Linked DNA regions of Astyanax mexicanus. The protein of the gene in region 1 binds, or shares a complex with, the protein of each later gene. Links are inferred from orthologs where the notes say so. Each region holds a gene or a part of one and is shown on either strand. Other genes may lie near its edges. The genes, in order: trappc8 and trappc11.

Evidence for each region.
Region 2: trappc8 (region 1) and trappc11 share a complex: the UniProt entries of both Homo sapiens proteins name them as parts of the multisubunit TRAPP (transport protein particle) complex. The link is inferred for Astyanax mexicanus from reciprocal best matches to the Homo sapiens genes TRAPPC8 and TRAPPC11.

The regions. Positions count from the first base shown.
Region 1 is NC_064408.1:65,442,027-65,450,970, forward strand, and holds the start of trappc8 (trafficking protein particle complex subunit 8), read left to right. Parts: upstream 1-5,325; 5' UTR 5,326-5,498; coding exon 5,499-5,655; intron 5,656-8,944. Other genes in the region: anapc4 (anaphase-promoting complex subunit 4), read right to left, coding at 1,141-1,215, 1,299-1,431, 1,525-1,630, 2,898-3,005. UniProt on the Homo sapiens protein: Plays a role in endoplasmic reticulum to Golgi apparatus trafficking at a very early stage. Maintains together with TBC1D14 the cycling pool of ATG9 required for initiation of autophagy. Involved in collagen secretion.
Region 2 is NC_064409.1:70,910,091-70,918,739, reverse strand, and holds the start of trappc11 (trafficking protein particle complex subunit 11), read left to right. Parts: upstream 1-4,886; 5' UTR 4,887-5,032; intron 5,033-6,989; 5' UTR 6,990-7,031; coding exon 7,032-7,235; intron 7,236-7,324; coding exon 7,325-7,494; intron 7,495-8,649. Other genes in the region: hars (histidine--tRNA ligase), read right to left, coding at 118-228. UniProt on the Homo sapiens protein: Involved in endoplasmic reticulum to Golgi apparatus trafficking at a very early stage.

The DNA.
Region 1 (8,944 bases):
TTTCACTGCTGTTTTCTTGAAAATAGAAATTTGCTAAATATAGGAATAAAAAATTGCAACACATAGTGCAAACACTGTTGTTGAGATCACAGAGCAAATCACGGTGCAGAGTAGGGGTGTGCCACATCGTATTGTACGCAACAATTTTGTGTCGCCAACAATTTTGAACATCGTCAACTATATTATACCCTTAAATATCAGCCACCCCTAATTATCACATAAGGTTACTACTTTTTGCTTTTTTTTTTTCTAAAAAGGGGAATCCACACTGTTCTCATTTCCCATTATATATCTACTAGAGACAGATTATATGTGTCCAGTATCAATAATTTTACTTCAGTCCTGGATATATGGAGATATATGGAATGCATCATTAGTATCATGACATTCTGGATCATTGACTATTGTAACAAATCTGATAAAAAATATTGTATTTGTATTATCTCAGTTAGGGGTGTGCAGTATCATATCATATGCAATAATAACATTTAATTTTTCTTTTTTTTTAATTTAGTGTTTTGTCATCACCAAGAGTATCGTTATCGCAAAAATACCATGAAATATCATGATATTATTTTAGGGCTTTATCATCTAAACCTAGAGCAGAAACAAAACATGGGTTAATATTATAATATATGGATTTGTATTAAAATACAAAACTAACTTTGCCAGACAGGATTTTCTTTCTTTTTGACACATTTGACTATAGACTGAATAATTAGTTCTAGATTACAAACTTCACTTTGGCTCATCCAAATGGTATTTGCCATAACTCTATTAATGCAGAGGACACTTTTCCTCTGCTCTATTCTCCACTGCTGAAGGCCCTTTACCCCTCTGGCTGACATTCAGCATTGGACATGGTGACCTCAAACTAATAAGCAGCTACTTTACAGCAGCCCATAAGGGCAGGAAACAAAACAACAAAATACTGTAATTTGCATCTAGTGTGGCTGAGTTATTATACCTTTTTTATTATTTGTTTTATGGATGACCTGGAACCTGTTCTCCAATGCATGATCTTGAACACCCTTTATTTATTTATTTACATTTGTAGCAGTCAGTTTCCTGTGTCCATTCTATTCTAGTACACAATCTTTAACACATATCAGCAATGAATTACACCTTTGCTGAACTAACCTTTTGGGTAAAATTGGTAGCTTGGGCAGGAATCGGTTGGACTCGTCTTCAGAGTCAGTGAACGATGATGATACACTTTAAATAAAGAGAGAAAACGATTAAACAAACTTATAAAAACAATCCCAATCTTTCTTTTGTGTCATTTAAAAAAATAATACCTGCTGTCACTCTGCACTTCCATCCAGTGCATGCAAGACACGGGGTAGTCTACAGTAAACAGGTGGAGGATCTCTGCCTTCTCAGCATCACACAGGACCACCTGCTTTGTGTCCCCCAGACTAAATGCCAAGACTGCCAACAATAACATACAGGTTCATTATTTTGGGGTTAAGTCAATTCTCTGGCAGTAAGCATTCTCAAATATCATAGAAAGCTTTGGCTTACTTTTGCCATCAGGCCTCCAGGCCAAAGATGTGATCTCTTTTCCTGTATTTTCACTTGGGGGTAAATTCCACACACGCTGAAAGTTGGCAAGGCGATGCAGCAGGAGCTGAAATTAATTTTAAACCCCAAACGTTAACAAACTGGAGCTCAGATACAGACAGTATTTATTAAACGCTCAGCAATATATGTCTGTGTACTAAACTAAAGAAAATCCAAAAATGTTTCCTAGAGGCTTTGTTCATGTTCTCCAGCCTTTTTCACCGACATATTTGAAATGATTATTCTTTCCCATTTTATAAATGGTTGCCATGGTTCAATAGTTGAAAAAAACTTCATAGTGGTTTGATTTAAAATGGTGTTGTACAGTATCTGACAAGCACTACAGAGTTTTATACTGTACTGTGTAATGTACAAAAATATTTGGTAAAACATATATCTAAATGCAGCATAGGTCAAATGCAGAAAAAACAAGCTCTTTAATGACCATTTTAACACCTTATTGTGAGTAAGCTTTTAGGAAAATTTAGTTCGTTGGATGGCTGGTTCCTGTAATCACTACTGTGAGAAATCTATATTTCTCTGGTGTTAAATATTACATAGCAAAACACACTTAGTTCATATACATATAAATAGTTGACTTGTGTCTTTTCCACAAAACATTTAGCGTAAAATTCCCCTTTAATTTTTAGCAATAAATAAGGTATTAACATTAATAACATTTATAATTAATAATATGTTAAGTATCTATTGCAATTGTAACTTAATTCTATGAGTCTGTTCTGTCATTTTAATTAATTATTTTAATTTAAAAAGTGTAGTTTTGTTATAGATTTTTTTCCTATGTGTCTTGTAATTAAATGTGAAATCCAACGTTAAATGGACTTGGTGTGCAGTAAAACATACACTACAATGCACTCCAAAAATGAGTAAGAACTTGTGTCAATTAACAAACCTCTATTTACCCCCAACATTCCAAAATACAACGCTTCTACTTGATGGTCCCAACAGGCTTACAATGCTAGTGATAGGAGGATAGTGTTGCCCATGCAAAGATATTTTTACACCATTAACAAATTCAAAATAGCTCCACACTTTATTGGAAGAAATCTGAGAAGCTTTACATTTAAATGAGGCACTGAGAACTCTGTAAGCCTGTTGGAGCATTGGCTACAAGCTCTGTATTTCAGAGGGGGAACAGAGGTGGGTTATTCCACAAAGGTTCATACTTGTTGACATGTTTCACCAGAGGTCAAATCCATTTTAAACTTAAGTTTAATCGCTGATACACGAGTTGTTTTTAAAGGTAATGTAGTTCTATTTTGTGGAGAAACTATTGACCCTCACTGTGGAGAGTACAGAAACTTTTTCCTCACCTCACCAGCTGTGTTGACCAAAGCGATGAGGTCCCTTTTAGGAGACCAGGCCATGTACAGAACTGGGTTTGGCAGCTGCTTCTCCCCCACTTGTCGGAAAGCAGGCATTGTGAAGCCCTTTCGTTTCCAAACCTGAGGATGGAAAAAAAACAATGCTTAGATTAAAGGGACATCATTTACTGAATGAATCGTCAAACAAACATAAATAAATAACCAGTGTATGCAATTTCTCCAGGTTTGAGCAAAATAATTTCTTCAGAGATTGTCTAGTTTTGCACTGGAGCTACAAGAATGTGCTACATGTGGCTAAAACGAAGTGGAAATCTATACTGGCTTTGTAGCATGAGTACAAAAACAAGAAGCAATGTTCAAGCACCAAACATGTGACCAAATACACTTTGTAATAAAGGGCAATACTGAGTTTTTGATGAACCATTAGTTTATCTAAGCTTGACCAAACAGAATCATTAAACTGTTGTGGAAAATATATCTTTGTTATGATTTAGCTACTGGAGAATGCTAGACCTATCTGTCAAATGTATCCAATGTTTTATAGTATTTACTATACGTTAGCAATTCATTAGTAAGTGACTGGAAACCGAGGCAATAGAATATGAGGTAAGAGAAGCTGTCTACAGTGTTACATTTTTTGGAGGTAAAAACGAGCTCTCTCCAAGTGACAGCCAATCAACGAGCTAGCTAGTCTGTGACAAAGAAGCTAGTTAAAACAACTAGAAATGTCTACTGATGTAAAGCAATATAGTTAACTAGCTACACCTCTCGCGAGCTGGTCAGCCAGGTTAACTGAACTGTGTAAAGAAAGTCTCAGTAAACAGTTAGTTAAATAAACACCTGTCCAACTAACTAGCATGTTAGCTAGCCTAGCTCAGTACCGCTGTAAACAGCACTTAAGACCTAGCTACCTAACTAACGTTGTAAATGTTACGATTACTCACTCGAACGCTCAATAAAGATCATTAACTGTAATCAGGGTGACTTGGACTTGAGCTCTATAATCCCCACACGCGCTGATTTTATCAGAAAAAGCTGAACACTTATTATTAATCCAGTGAAATAAATAAATAACACGCAGTGTGCGGGCTGAGCAGCCCGGCTTCTCTACTACCCGCCGCTAAAAACATAACTACGGAAAGCCCAACGAGACAAGCAGAACGACGAAAAGCAATTTGCCACACAAGCAACGAAAAATAACCATAAATAATGCCCAACGTATAAAACATATTTGAATTCATATAATGTATGCTAACCCCTTGTTTTAATTTTAATTTTTTCATTACTTATATATTATTAATTTGAATTCAATTTATTTCAAAGCTACAAACTATTTAATTGTTCATTTCGTTTACGGACTGTTATAAGATGTTCATAAAAAAAAAAAATCTCTCTTTATAAAAGGTATGAAGAAATATTTCATACCTAATGATTATTGCATGAGATCCTTTATTTTGAGAGCAGAGCAAAGAAGGTTGATTTTCTGGTTGCATTACATCTTTTAAGATTAAGGATGGAAAAACAATCTTAAAACAAGTTTTTGTTTCACATCGCCTCATAGGCATCAGTTAGTAATTCAATTATTTTATAAAATGTTAACTTTAAATAATTAAAGTTTTTGAGTGGTTGGCTGAGCTCTTCTACATCCACAATGCTTTTATGTAAAATGTGCTTACCACAAATAAAAAAAAATAATGTTAGTAATTATTATTTTAATGTGTTTTTACATAGCTAGACTACAGTACCGGATAAAAGAATACAATACAAACAATATATATAACATTATATAGCTTTTCTCACATTTTTGTAGACTGTTACTAAACTTTAATACAAATAATACATTTAAAACCAGACAGTTGAAACAATGTTGAAATAAACGTAAAATCAATATGCACAAATATATCAAATCTGACGTCAGAGATCAACATTATTTTAATACATTAATGACGTAAAAATTATGTTTATATATAAATGTTGCTATCTTTCATTAACCAGATTAGTTACCATTAGTAAAAATCGTAACATTTTACCTGATTAAACTGTGCATATTTTAGTAGTAATATAATATATTATATTATAAGTTGTACATTATTACAAAATGCTTTAACCTGTTGAACAATTACTTGCTCAAGGGCGTCCTCTAGTGTTCTTTCTGTTTCAGCTTTCGTGTGTGCAAAAACGTGTTTTTATTAATAATAAGCCTTAAATTGCTGCGTTTTGGTAGCTTTTACGCCACAATATATGGATTAATATTTCACAACTGGTTTCGCAGTTATTTAATCTATTTTTATTACCCTTGCTTTCTTCTGTTTTACCTCTTTTCACCCTCCTCTACAGACCGCATTAAGACTTTTATTTTGAAGGGACGTGTTTAGGCTGCCTGTCTGGTATCACCTGACAGGCGTGGTGCTCGACGGGAGTTAAATCGGTCAGCAGGGGGGACTGTAGAGTCCATCATGGCTGCTGCGGGCTGTCAGTAGAGGGACTTGTTTTTAACTCTGTAGCGGCTCCTCTGTTCTCGGTGACACTCCCGCGCCCGGCTCGTCTGCTCCCCCGGTTCTCGCTCGGACTGCCCGCTGGACCGGCGCCATGGCCCAGTGCGCCCAGTCTGTGCAGGAGTTCATCCAGGACTCGTTCGTGCCGATGGTGGCCGTCCTGTGCAGCGAGGAGGCGGAGAGAGTGACCCGCAGGAACAGCCTGAGCTTCCCCGAGCTGCTGCGCCCCTTCTGCCGGCTTCCCTCGGAGGGTAAGGAGCTTGGGGTTAACTGGTGGAGGTCGGGCGGGGGTGTCAGGGGCTGTTGAGCAGCGGTAAACACTGGGACGCTCCGCGGGCTTTAACTCGGAGTTAGTTAGTTAGCAAGGCTAGTTAGGTTAGCTAGCAGGCTGCTAACTAGCTCCCCCGGTCGGCCAGCTGACAGGAGGAGCAGTTCAGGGCCCGGTCTGTGTGTCTGTTCCGCTCAGTCTACCGGTTACCTGAGCGATTGGGTTACCCGGATCAAATGACACATTTCCCTTTAATGACTCCGGCTGGACTGTTTGGGTTTCGACTGTAATAAAGGCCTCAGGCCGACAGGAGCTCCAGCAGCAGCAGCGGGCTGAACACCCCGGCTCTGTTTTCGGCTGTTAGCCGCTAAGCTAAGCGCCCGGCTACACCCTCCTTAACTAGCTCATAAACACAGGCTAATCCTCGAGGAGCAGAGTTCACTCCTCTAACAGTAACGAGGAGCGGGATTATGAACAGTTTAGCAGCCGCTGGATTGATTAAATATTGCTGTGTTTGTGCGTCATGGACAAATTTCAAACGAAGCTTCTGTGTTTCTTTTACTTTTGAAATCTCTAGACGAGGTTTCTTCAGTTCCCTTTCTTCACCAACACACACATTTCTGAAACCCGGTCCTGGGGGCACACTGCTCTGCAGTTTATAGTGTTTCCCTGCTAGTAACACACCTTATTCAATTTGTCACAGCTGATTAACACGCCCGTTATTGAGTAATGTGGGTGTATTAAGGCAGGTAAAGGACCAAAATGTGCAGGGCAGTTGGCCTCCATAAAAAAAACACAATAAAAAATTCTGAATTAAGCTCTCTAACTAATACTACAAATAATTTAAAAAAATTGTAGTAGATGTGTTTGAGAAGAAATTGTCCACGCTGTCATAACAAGAAATGTGATCTCAGTTTTTTGTTTTTTTTTCCCATGATCTTGCAAAGCCCAGAGAAGGAAATGGAAGAATATTTGGACAGTACATCCTGCCACCTCGCATGCACAATACTGTATTAAGGGTCACTGGCTATGTTTTACATGCAAAGATTATCTCCAAACCAATGAAATCAATTCAGATTAGAGTACCACTTTTAGGAATTTTGTCAAACTCGTAAGTCTATGTCTTTCGCACCTGAGTTTTGTCTAATTTCAGAGCCAAATCTCTTCTAAGGAGAATGGCCGCATACTTAAATCCATGTTATGCTGTGTTGTTTCTAGACTACCAGAGCAACAAAGGTTCTTACATGTGACAGTTGGCTCACATGTTGTTTTGGTAGCAAAAAGCTCCATCAGTGCACCTCTTGTGCTCTGTATAGTTCTGCCCTTTAGCCTGGCAGTAGCTTTTTTTATGTCCATGCTGATGCTTCACAGTATCTTGTTAGACCCTCTTTCTAAATCTAAAAGAGAACTGTGTTCATTAGATGCTGAAAAAAAAAAAATAGACGTGTGTTTTGAGATTCTTTGAAACTGTACTTAAGCACTTCTAAGAAAACTCAATCTGTTTGGGTCCGCAGAGGGTGTGTTCTCCAAGAACATCCCTGTGTGTCGTCTGCTGATGTAATTTGATTTATTTAGGAATGTTTTGGAACAGTTGACAACAGAGAAAGGCCATTTTTTTGTTTGGCAGCTGTAACATGCACAGATGCACATAGATATATAGAAGGTGCAGTGTCAAATACTCCTGTGTGCTGTTTTAAGCCAGGCGGACACTGCGATTTTAGCCTGATTTTAAGCCCGATCTGGTCGAATGCGACTGAATTTCATGATCGGGCCGAATTTTAGCTTGATCGTGCGTCGTTTGTCGTGCAGTGTGTGAGGGGAAGCGATGTCCGATTAATTGCCCATACGAGCTGCGAATGAGCAGTCGGACGCGACCAGGGATTTCTGACATGCCAGAAATTTTGGTCGCTTGTCTCACAGTGTGAGCTATTTTGCGGGCCGATTTCTTAACGTCACGACCTGTTTTCCCAAAAATCTGCACAGTAACTATAAATTATTATTAGTCATATTTATTTCTGTCAGTTATAAGGATTTATATTTATGTTCGGTACACAGACTTATAGCTTAATGTAGCAGACACAGGCATTCTGCTGTTTAATAATTTCAACAGATGCTTATTCTCAGTCAATAGCTGGAGTTTTTGAAAAGATAAATTAAAAGAGAAAATAACTTTGACAAACATAAATTTATTTTATTTCACTTTGCTATTATATCTGAAAAATAAAGCACATTGTCAGCGTCTGGTGCTGCCCGTCAATTATATAAAACTTAAAACATGCACAGAAATATATAAAGCTATATTTTATAATTCGTTCCTTTTCGCCAGGGCAAATTTATTAAAATTATAAATATATTAATTTATTAATTAAAATCTCGTCCAGTGCTTCAGAATATTAGCCATGCAAAGCCAGCTTAGCGCAGCGCATGGCATTGCGCGCGTCATTGCGCGCAGAATAACCTCTGTCTTCTAAAATAAACGTTTTAATAAATAAGGTCGGAGAAGTGTAGTAAAATTAATGCTATTAAACTTACTAAAGCTAATAAATGTACTGATAATTAATCAAGATAAATCGGACAAAATGCGCTGCGCCGCTCTCTCGCTCTCTTTCGCAGCGCGGAGCTGAATTCAGAGCGAGGCTACAGATAATATAAAACTCAGTTCAGTTGAATAAAAATAAGTAAGGGCCTGTAAGTACAAGCAAAGGACCTGTAAGTAAATATTGTCAAATATAAAGAATAGTTTGAGGTTTTGGTGAGCTGTTTTCATGATTTGAAACTGAAACTAACTGAAACTTTGATTATTCTGCAGAAAGCCTGGGTTATTTTAAACGAATTTTTAATGAGTTTATATTTAATATTTTTTATTCATTTTAATTATTTTTCTTCTTTTATTAATCAAATCATTAAATATATATCTTCATAAGATATATTTTTTACCTTATGTCAATTTTTGTGATCTTTTTAAAAGGTCCTATTTTTCCTTTTTTACGTATATATTTTATTCGTCTATAATAAATGTCAGTTTTTATTTCTATTTTTTATATATTTTTTTAATCCCTTTTAAACTGTTAATGCTCAGCGGCACTATAAATGAGGGTCCCTATCCAGTGTGAATAATCGATTGCTTGTTTAATATTCAGTGTTGCAAAACCAGTTTTTACATAAACAATAAACAGAATAAAAAATAAAATTATTTTATTTTATTTAAGCTGCTGGTGTTTCTTTCACAGCCTGACGCGCAGTCATTTTTCTATGCGCTCTCCTTCTGTAAA
Region 2 (8,649 bases), on another chromosome or scaffold:
AACTACTATAACTTTAACTACTATGTGCATAACTACTCCAAATCTATATCCAGATCCATTTATCAGTACACAGTACAGGCTGTGTGAGTGTGCACAGTAAAAACAGCTCTTTCTTACCTGAGACACAGTCATTCCAGAGAGGTAGCGCAGAGAGCGGAGGCACGGTACAGCATGTCGTCCAGTCAGTCCAGCACAGAGACGCACACATGCCAGCCCCAGAGAAGCCATGTTTCAGTCCACAAACACACAGCACACAGTTCAGGAACACAGCAGCACAGTCCACATATCAGGAGGCCCCAAAAAGTCAGTGCACACAGCAGAGGCCCAATTCCAATCCCAGTCCAGGGGAATGAGCCGGCAGTCCAACAGCAAAATCACAGCAGCAGTTCCAACATCAATTCAGCGGAAGATGATGAAGACGATGAAGGTGATGAAGATGATGAGCCCAGGTATGGAGGCAGTATCCGCAGCAACAAGCAGGAAGAACAGGAGAAAAGTGGTGAGCAACCCTATCACTAGGGGGCCGCGGCCCACAAGCGAGGCATGAAGCAATGAAGGGAGCAAAACATGAGAGCATGGAGTCAAAATCAACTGGACACTAAAGCTTCTGCTCTGACATTATTATCAGAATAACCACACACTCACATACACACACACACACACACACACACACACACACCTCCTCTCAAATCACTTTAACTTAAAGAAAGACACTTTAAATGAAAATGGCCCAAATGTGAAGCAGAACAAGTGCAAAGACAAAGATAAAAACATGATCTATAAAAAAAATCTCCAAAACTGCAACTTTCCATAAGATAAAAAAAAAACTTCTTCGATGTCAATATATTTAATTCTAGGTAAAGCTGGACAATATATTGATATTTTATTGTATTGAACAGACAAAATGCATATTGATTATATCACTTGTACTTAAAGAACATTGATCCTGACACTGAGTGTGTAAATTCCCGTTAAATTAGATGATGTCCAGCAAAAATTAAATAAGAATCCAATGAACTGTGTACTACGAAAAGCATTTGAATAACAGAACATAAGTATCTGCCATGGCAGATGAAAATATGATTAATACGGTGTATAGTGAAAATGTCTTTAAATATTGTGATACAATTTTTTTTAACATATCATCCAGCTCTATCAGTTTGTGATTACTTACACAAAGGGCTGTGGCTTTCAAACTGTTCATATCGATATCAGAATTGTATCATGCCAAACAAAAATAAGAACTATATTTTAAGTGTTGAGTTTATTGCCATTGTAGGCAAAGAATGTTGCTGTGTATGTGTCAGTGTTTTAGTTGAAGGCTTTTTACTATGCCCCAATCACTGTTTGTTACAATGTCTTATTGTGTGTTTCTTTTTTTTCATGTTGGTACTCGTATGTGTTTTTGTAAGTGTATCACAACCTGTGCTTATGTATAATACATAATGTATTTGGGGTTTATTTGGAAAAATAAATAAAAATGTTTCTAAAACACTTTCTGTATAAAAAATAATTATGCATCTTGCTATTTAGCTTCAGTATAGTCTTCAATATTACATTTACAACATTAAGATAATAAACATAAAGAAAACAGAAACAGAGAAAATGTGTGTCCATTTTTTGACTGGTTGCTAGTAAATAAGTGTTTAAATAATACTTAACTCAAGACAATATGTGCTTTGTTTGTCTACTATGATTTGATGACAGTTCTGGCTCTGATATTGCGTCAGCTTGACCCAGTAAACCATCAATATTTTAACTGTACATAAATAAAGTCTTAAACTACATTACAATAACAAAACATGTGCTAGCTTTGCTTTTGTACACGTGTAGCAACGAAGCTTAACCTGATGCCTTATTGTTTTTACAATAGTTCCGTTCCACCTTAAAATTTACAGCGGTAACATGCGGCACCTGCGACACAATAAGAACGGAAACCTAGGCGGCAACTGTAGCATTTAAGGTGGAACGGACAATTCAAAAAGGCGATTCAAATCTGAAAAATTAACATTAGAAGGCTATTATAAACAGTAAAACAGCCTCTTTAAATGTGAAAACTGAGGCTGCACTGATGATATCTGCTGTCAGCTAAAGAACATGTACAAAAATGCTGATTAATGATACAGAAGGCCACAGAGACCGGCACCAGGTTAGCTTAGCATTAACTAGCACATGTAGAAACACAGGTAAACGAGGCCCGTATTCAGCTCTAATAACAGCAGTATTTAAGCAGCGGCGGCTCGCTCACACTGACCTGATCTTTACTCGCTTTATCGCTCTTCAGTTTCCTCACCACCTCCCCCTGAACTTTAATGGCTTCTTGAATCTGCGCTTTATCCGCCATGGTGCTGCTCTCTCAGCTCCCCGCAGGACCGGTCCCTCACAAAAAACGTCACACACGCACAAACCACGTGTACCCACTAACATAATACTCATGTATAATACTAGTGCATCTAAAAAAAAATAGAATATCATTGAAAAGTTCATTTACTTCAGTAATTCAGTTTAAAATGAGAAACCTATATTGTATATAGATGTCCTACACACAGAGTGATCTATTTAAAGACTTTATTTATTTTATTATTGACGATTATGGCTGACAGCCAATAAAAACACAAAAATCAGTGTCTCAGGAAATTAGAATATTATATAAGATCAATTGGTATTTCTGCAGTGTGGGCAGTGTGCCAAGTCCTGCTGGAAAATGAAATCCGCATCTCCATAAAAGTTGTCAGCAGAGGGAAGCATGAAGTGCAGGAAGATTTTGTGGGAAAACAAAACTGCACTGACTTTGGACTTGATAATAAAACACAGTGGATCAACACCAGCAGATGACATGTCTCTCCAAACCATCACTGATCATCAGTAAATTTTGCACTTCATTTGGAAATCAAGGGAGCAGAGTCTGGAGAAAGAGTGGAGAGACACACAGTTCAAACTGCTTGAGGTCTGGTGTGAAGTTTCCACCAATCAGTGATGGTTGGGAGAGACATGTCATCTGCTGGTGTTTTTTATGTTAAAAATACTATGTTAAAAAAAAAATATATATATTTCTCAATCAAAAAAGGTGGAAGCCTTGTGTGTTTTGTATTTTATTTTATTCTATTTTATGATGTTTTTTTCCATAAGTGATGATATATGTTCCACAGTCATGTAAGGTGTTTATAACGTTTTTTAAATATATAAAACATCAATTTTATAAAGTTGTATTCCTTTTACACAATAAGGGCAGAATTTGCCCTGTTTATCCATCAGAGGGCAGCAATTGCCCCCGTTTGTCCACAATAAGATAGTAATTGCCCTGTTTGCCCAGTAGAGTGCAGTAATTTGGTATTGGCTCTTTCTGCAGCACAAAGCCGCAGATGAAGCGGAGCCAGAGACTCTCTATAGAGAGTAGATTACCCGCTTAATAATGTCTGCTGAGTTTGTTTAAATGAATAAATGCAGTTTAATGCAATTTTTTTCAATTGAGCGAAATCAGAGTTTATTAATGTTTAAAAAATGTATAGTGAAAAATTTGAGTAATTTACAGAGCCCATAAGGTGACATCATGTAAAAAATATATATGATGTGTGGCCATGATTTATTAAAGTGCAGGAATGTGATCCTAACGCATGGAAATGAGATAAGTAAGGCGAGTAAATAAGATAATTAAGTTGTGACCACGACTTATTAAGGTGTGGGAATGAGATCTGAATGTGCGGCCATGACTTATTAGGGTGTGGGAATAAGATCCTAACATGTAGCTATGACTTATTCCCACACATTAATAGGGACGACTAATATAGGTATAACTAATTTCCATGCCTTAATAAGTCGTGGCCATACCTTAATTATCTCGTTGTCGCACCTCAGTTATCTCATTGTCACGCATTAATTATCTTGTTCCCAAGCCTTGATGGGTACGATTTAATTAACTCATTCCCACACCTTAATAAGTTGTTTCCACACATTAGGATCTCCTACACCTTAATTATCTCATTCCCATGCATTAGGATCTCGTTCCCATGCCTTAATTTTTTTGTACCCACACCTTAGGATCTCATTCCCACACCTTAATAAGTCGTGGCCATGCATTTTTTTAACATAATATCACCTTAGGGGCTCCATACTAATTTTCTTAAAACAGAACAATATTAGCTACATGTTTTATCACTGAGCTTTTAAACTCCAGCTATAAACCTTTTATCTCCAGCATCAGCTCACCAACCAGTCAATATACATACAGTAGCAGTAATGCTAGCACTTTTACTGCCTAAAACCCGTTTACTGAAGAAAACCTAAAATATATAAGCAGGATATCTTTGCTCTTTTAGTGAAATGCATCATTGTCATTTACATAATTAAAATAAAATTCTGGAGAAAAGGTTAGTAACTGTTTGAAATTAGAGTTTTAGCCGTTTAGCTTTATTCACCTCCATTCATTTTGGACTCTCTCGCGGGCTCCTCCTAGCGGTTGCAGTGTTTACTGCTATAACAGGGATATGGGGAAGTGGTAGTCTGTCTAGAAACGCCGGTGCTCTGTCATATTGTTCTACCCATCGATATGTGCTACTTACATGCACTGCGCATGCGCTGATACACATTTTCACAGGCTTTTTTTTTTTTACATATAATAATGATTTTCCTTTTTGTCTTTTTCCTTTTCTTTGCTACAATATAATTACAGTCTAAGCTCATAATGTTGTTTAGTTGCGTGATTAAAAATGGTTAATTTGAATTTTTAAATGAAAATACTTATTATTACTGTTATTTTTTTTAGCTATATTATCCACCTAATACAGTGATTTAGCAGGGCTTATATTTAGCTTAAAACGCTCTATTTACTGTTTTATTTCAGCAGCTTTAACTGGATCCACATTGTGGTAGCACGATTCGACGAGGTAGCACATCGCGACACAACACCGGTGGCTGTGGCGGAGGGTCATGGGGTGTGGGCCCGGCTGCTCTGGGAGATAAACACGGATATTAATCAGGGTTTAATGTAAATGAAGTGGATGTAGACGGATTTAACAGACTGCAGCAGTAAAAGGTAACCTGATTAATTATCTCGTCACTGCCTCTAGCTCAGGCTGGTGTGACTCTGCCTCTGTTAGCTACCTCTGTTGATTAGTCTGTGCTGACACTGCTCTAGTTTCTGCAGTTTAACAGGGTTTAAACCTCTCTGTAGTGTTTATCAGTCTTCAGCAGGCTCTGTTTAATAATTCTGCTAAGTTAAAAGCCATAGTGTTAATATTATTAGCTGTATATACGCTGTTTGTGTATCAGGGTGAGCTCAGCTGACAGGAGGCTGGTTAGCTTGCTAAGCTAGCTCGGTGCACTCAGGCTAGGGCCCTCTTACTGTTTACTGTAGCTAAACTCTCTGAAATTTGAGATAATAAAGAAGACCCTGCAGAAAATCACCTCTTATTGTCTCTTTGGCTGCTTAAAATCCACGCAAGTCATTTATTATTGTTTTGTTAGAGTTTTATTGTACATGTTGTGAGTTAGCTAGTTAGTTAGTTAGCTAGCTTAGCTACTGAGTGGCTAGCTAAGCTCTTTTAGCTCTTTCAATCAATTAATCAATCTATATTTTATTTTAAAAGTGCATTTTAGTGTAGCCGAGTATTTGTGAAAAACAGGGATTGACATGACAAAAAATAGTAACTACATCTAATCACTTATTAGTGGAGTTCTTAAAACTACCCAGCTGTTGAGTCCCAATCCCTTTAGTTCCTTTTGCAGTGAGTGTGGAAATGCTCTTACTTTCACTATTAAACATATCCTGAGTTCTAGTTTTATTTTTCTACAATTTGATTTCACCAAACATTTATTTTCATTCAGAACGTTTTTCCTACAGCATTTCTTCCTAGAAGATGATGTTTCCCCACTGTCCTTCCACATTTTATTAATGCATTGGACAGATATTAACCAGATTTTAGTAGTGTCAGCAATCTCCTTATACTGTCCATACACTGCACAACTTTAAAAAGACTCTGAAAAGACTGTAACAGACTAAAGTCTTGACACCCTCTTACATCTAAAGACTAGTCATAGTATTTTACTCACTTGCTAAAACTTTGCTAAGACTGGGGATCACTAACTGCAAGACCGCAACTAATAGATTCTTTCTGAGATTATTTTCCATCATGCTTATGGTGGAGTTTACATACAATACATATTTTATATCATCAGTTTATTTTTCTGTCGCAATGTTAATTCTTGATATTTTTTAATAGAATACATTTTGTTTTTCACTCGTTCTATAAGCTTTTTTTTATTATTATCCCCCCCTTTTTTTTTGCTACAACCTTGTATAGCAAAGAATCACAGTTTCATTGCTATACATTTGCCTTTCTTTTAGATAGAAGTAATGCAATAAAAAACACCAGTCTTGCAGAATGTGTATTTATTGAACGTGTTTGTATCAAAAATTGTACTGCACAATAGATCAAAGTAGTGCAAAATATAATAACTTTCAATATGATGACATTAAAGTGCTACCTGTGCTTAAAAAACTGTACATATTAACTTCAACCCGTAAAATATTCTTGCATTGCGGCTTCCCATGGCTCTCCTATTGGTTGTTGACATTGTTCGAGTCATTATTTGCGTAAGCAAAGTCTCAAAACTTACTGTAATAATGAACAGGGTTGATTTTATTAGAGCTTCAGGACGCGAATCTGACTTACTAAAACTTTTAGTCCTAACCACCTAACACTGAAAGATTGAGATGACGCTAATGCAACTCGACTCTAGCAAGACTCGTGATTTTATCCTGACTCTTAATATTTGGAAATCTTCGACAGTAAAATCGCTTGAAAATCGTTAGGTGTAAGGTCGGCATTATATGTTTTCTCTGCTTGAGGCATGCCAATAATTTGACCCTTCTGAAACAGATTAACATCTTTTCCATGACGTTTATTCAGTAGCAGCATCATAAGTAAAATAATTATTAGTTAATAATTATAAATAAATATTCTGTCATTAATTCTTTATTGCATTATTAGTTTTTTTTTAGTTCCCCTCTTGAACGGCCAGTTCTTGGTAAGATGAGTCCGACGCAGTGGGATCTCCCCCCAGAGCTGTGCTGCAGGCCAATGGCCTTCGTGGCTCTGACCGGTCTGGATGTGGTGTATAACGCAGTGCACAGAGCCATATGGGACGCTTTCTGTGCAAACAGGAGGGCAGACAGGGTGCCCATTTCCTTTAAAGTCCTGCCAGGTGACCACGAGTACCCGAAGTGTAGAACTAAGGTAAGAGTGGATACTTATTCCACCGTGTGCTTATTTTTTAAGTTCATCTATCTTTTGCTTTCATGACAGTGCTGTTCATGTTCTTCCAGAGGACCTCCTACGAGTGGTACATTCCTAAAGGCATCCTGAAGACAGGCTGGATGAATAAACACCTGAACCTGGTGCCTTCTCTGGTGGTGCTGTTCTATGAGCTTGACTGGGACGATGCTCAGTGGAAGGAGAAGCAGTCGGAGTGTGCCACTAAAGTGGAAATTGTCAGGTAGATATTAATCTTATTTGATTTTGTTTTTAGAAATCCAGCTTCATGCCAAACATGAAATACATTATGTATCACCTTAGCTCAGGAAAGGGCTTGTTAATTAGCTAATCAGCTGGATCAGGTGTGTGGGGGGAAACAGTAAACACTAAAATATTATATATACTTAATTAGATATGTGGCAGTTAATATGACCTAGTCAGGGCTAGTCAATATGAATAAAAAACTCATGTCTTGATATGGTTAAGAGGAATGGCAATATACTTAATACAATATGGGATGATAAAAAAAAAAACATTAAAAATGTTAATTTAGTAATTGTAACAACAAAAATAATCAGTTAATATCTAATTGTGTATTTAAGTAATATACATTGTTTATTATACCACGTTTAGATCCAACACTGCAATTTGATTGGCTGAAAGGTGTTCTGTTAGTGCCGTTATCAGCCGGTAATGTGCTGTAATCGAAATTCTCCATGTATTACTCCGCCACATACAGGTAACCTAGCAATGATGCAGCGCCTACAAGCCAAAGAGCGCTGCTACAAACAGAGCAGCAATGGAACCATTTTATCTCACTTAATTTTTTTTAACCAAATTTGTATTAGTACAATCTTGGTTTTATAAATGTATAAAACCAAGATTGTATTTTCTCGTCCTCTTTAACTCAAACTTTAACTTTCAATAAACAGTGATAATGGAACTGTGACATATAGGGTTGCAACGGTATGAGATTTTCACGGTATGATAACCGTCTCAGAAAATACCGCGGTATCACGGTTATCACGGTATCACAGTTTGTTACATATATTATTAAACTGACCCTTAAAGAAATTACAACAAAGGTTTTTTGTTCAATTAACTATTTATTGTAGAAACCTGGAACAACTATATAGATAATGTCTCCTTAAAAAAAATAAACTGTACACCATTAGGTGAAGGAAACCAGGTTTTTCCACTACTCTTAAGGGCATTAAGGGTGTATATAAAAGATCCTGTATTTAAAATATTCAGTACAATTATTTAAATTTAAATTATTTAATATTTGATAAACTGAGCCTGGGTCAGTGTCTGATCAACAACTGTTGTAAACGTCCGTTTTACTGCCAAGTTGGTATATAACCAGATACTGCAGAAAGAGGGGATTTATTTCTGA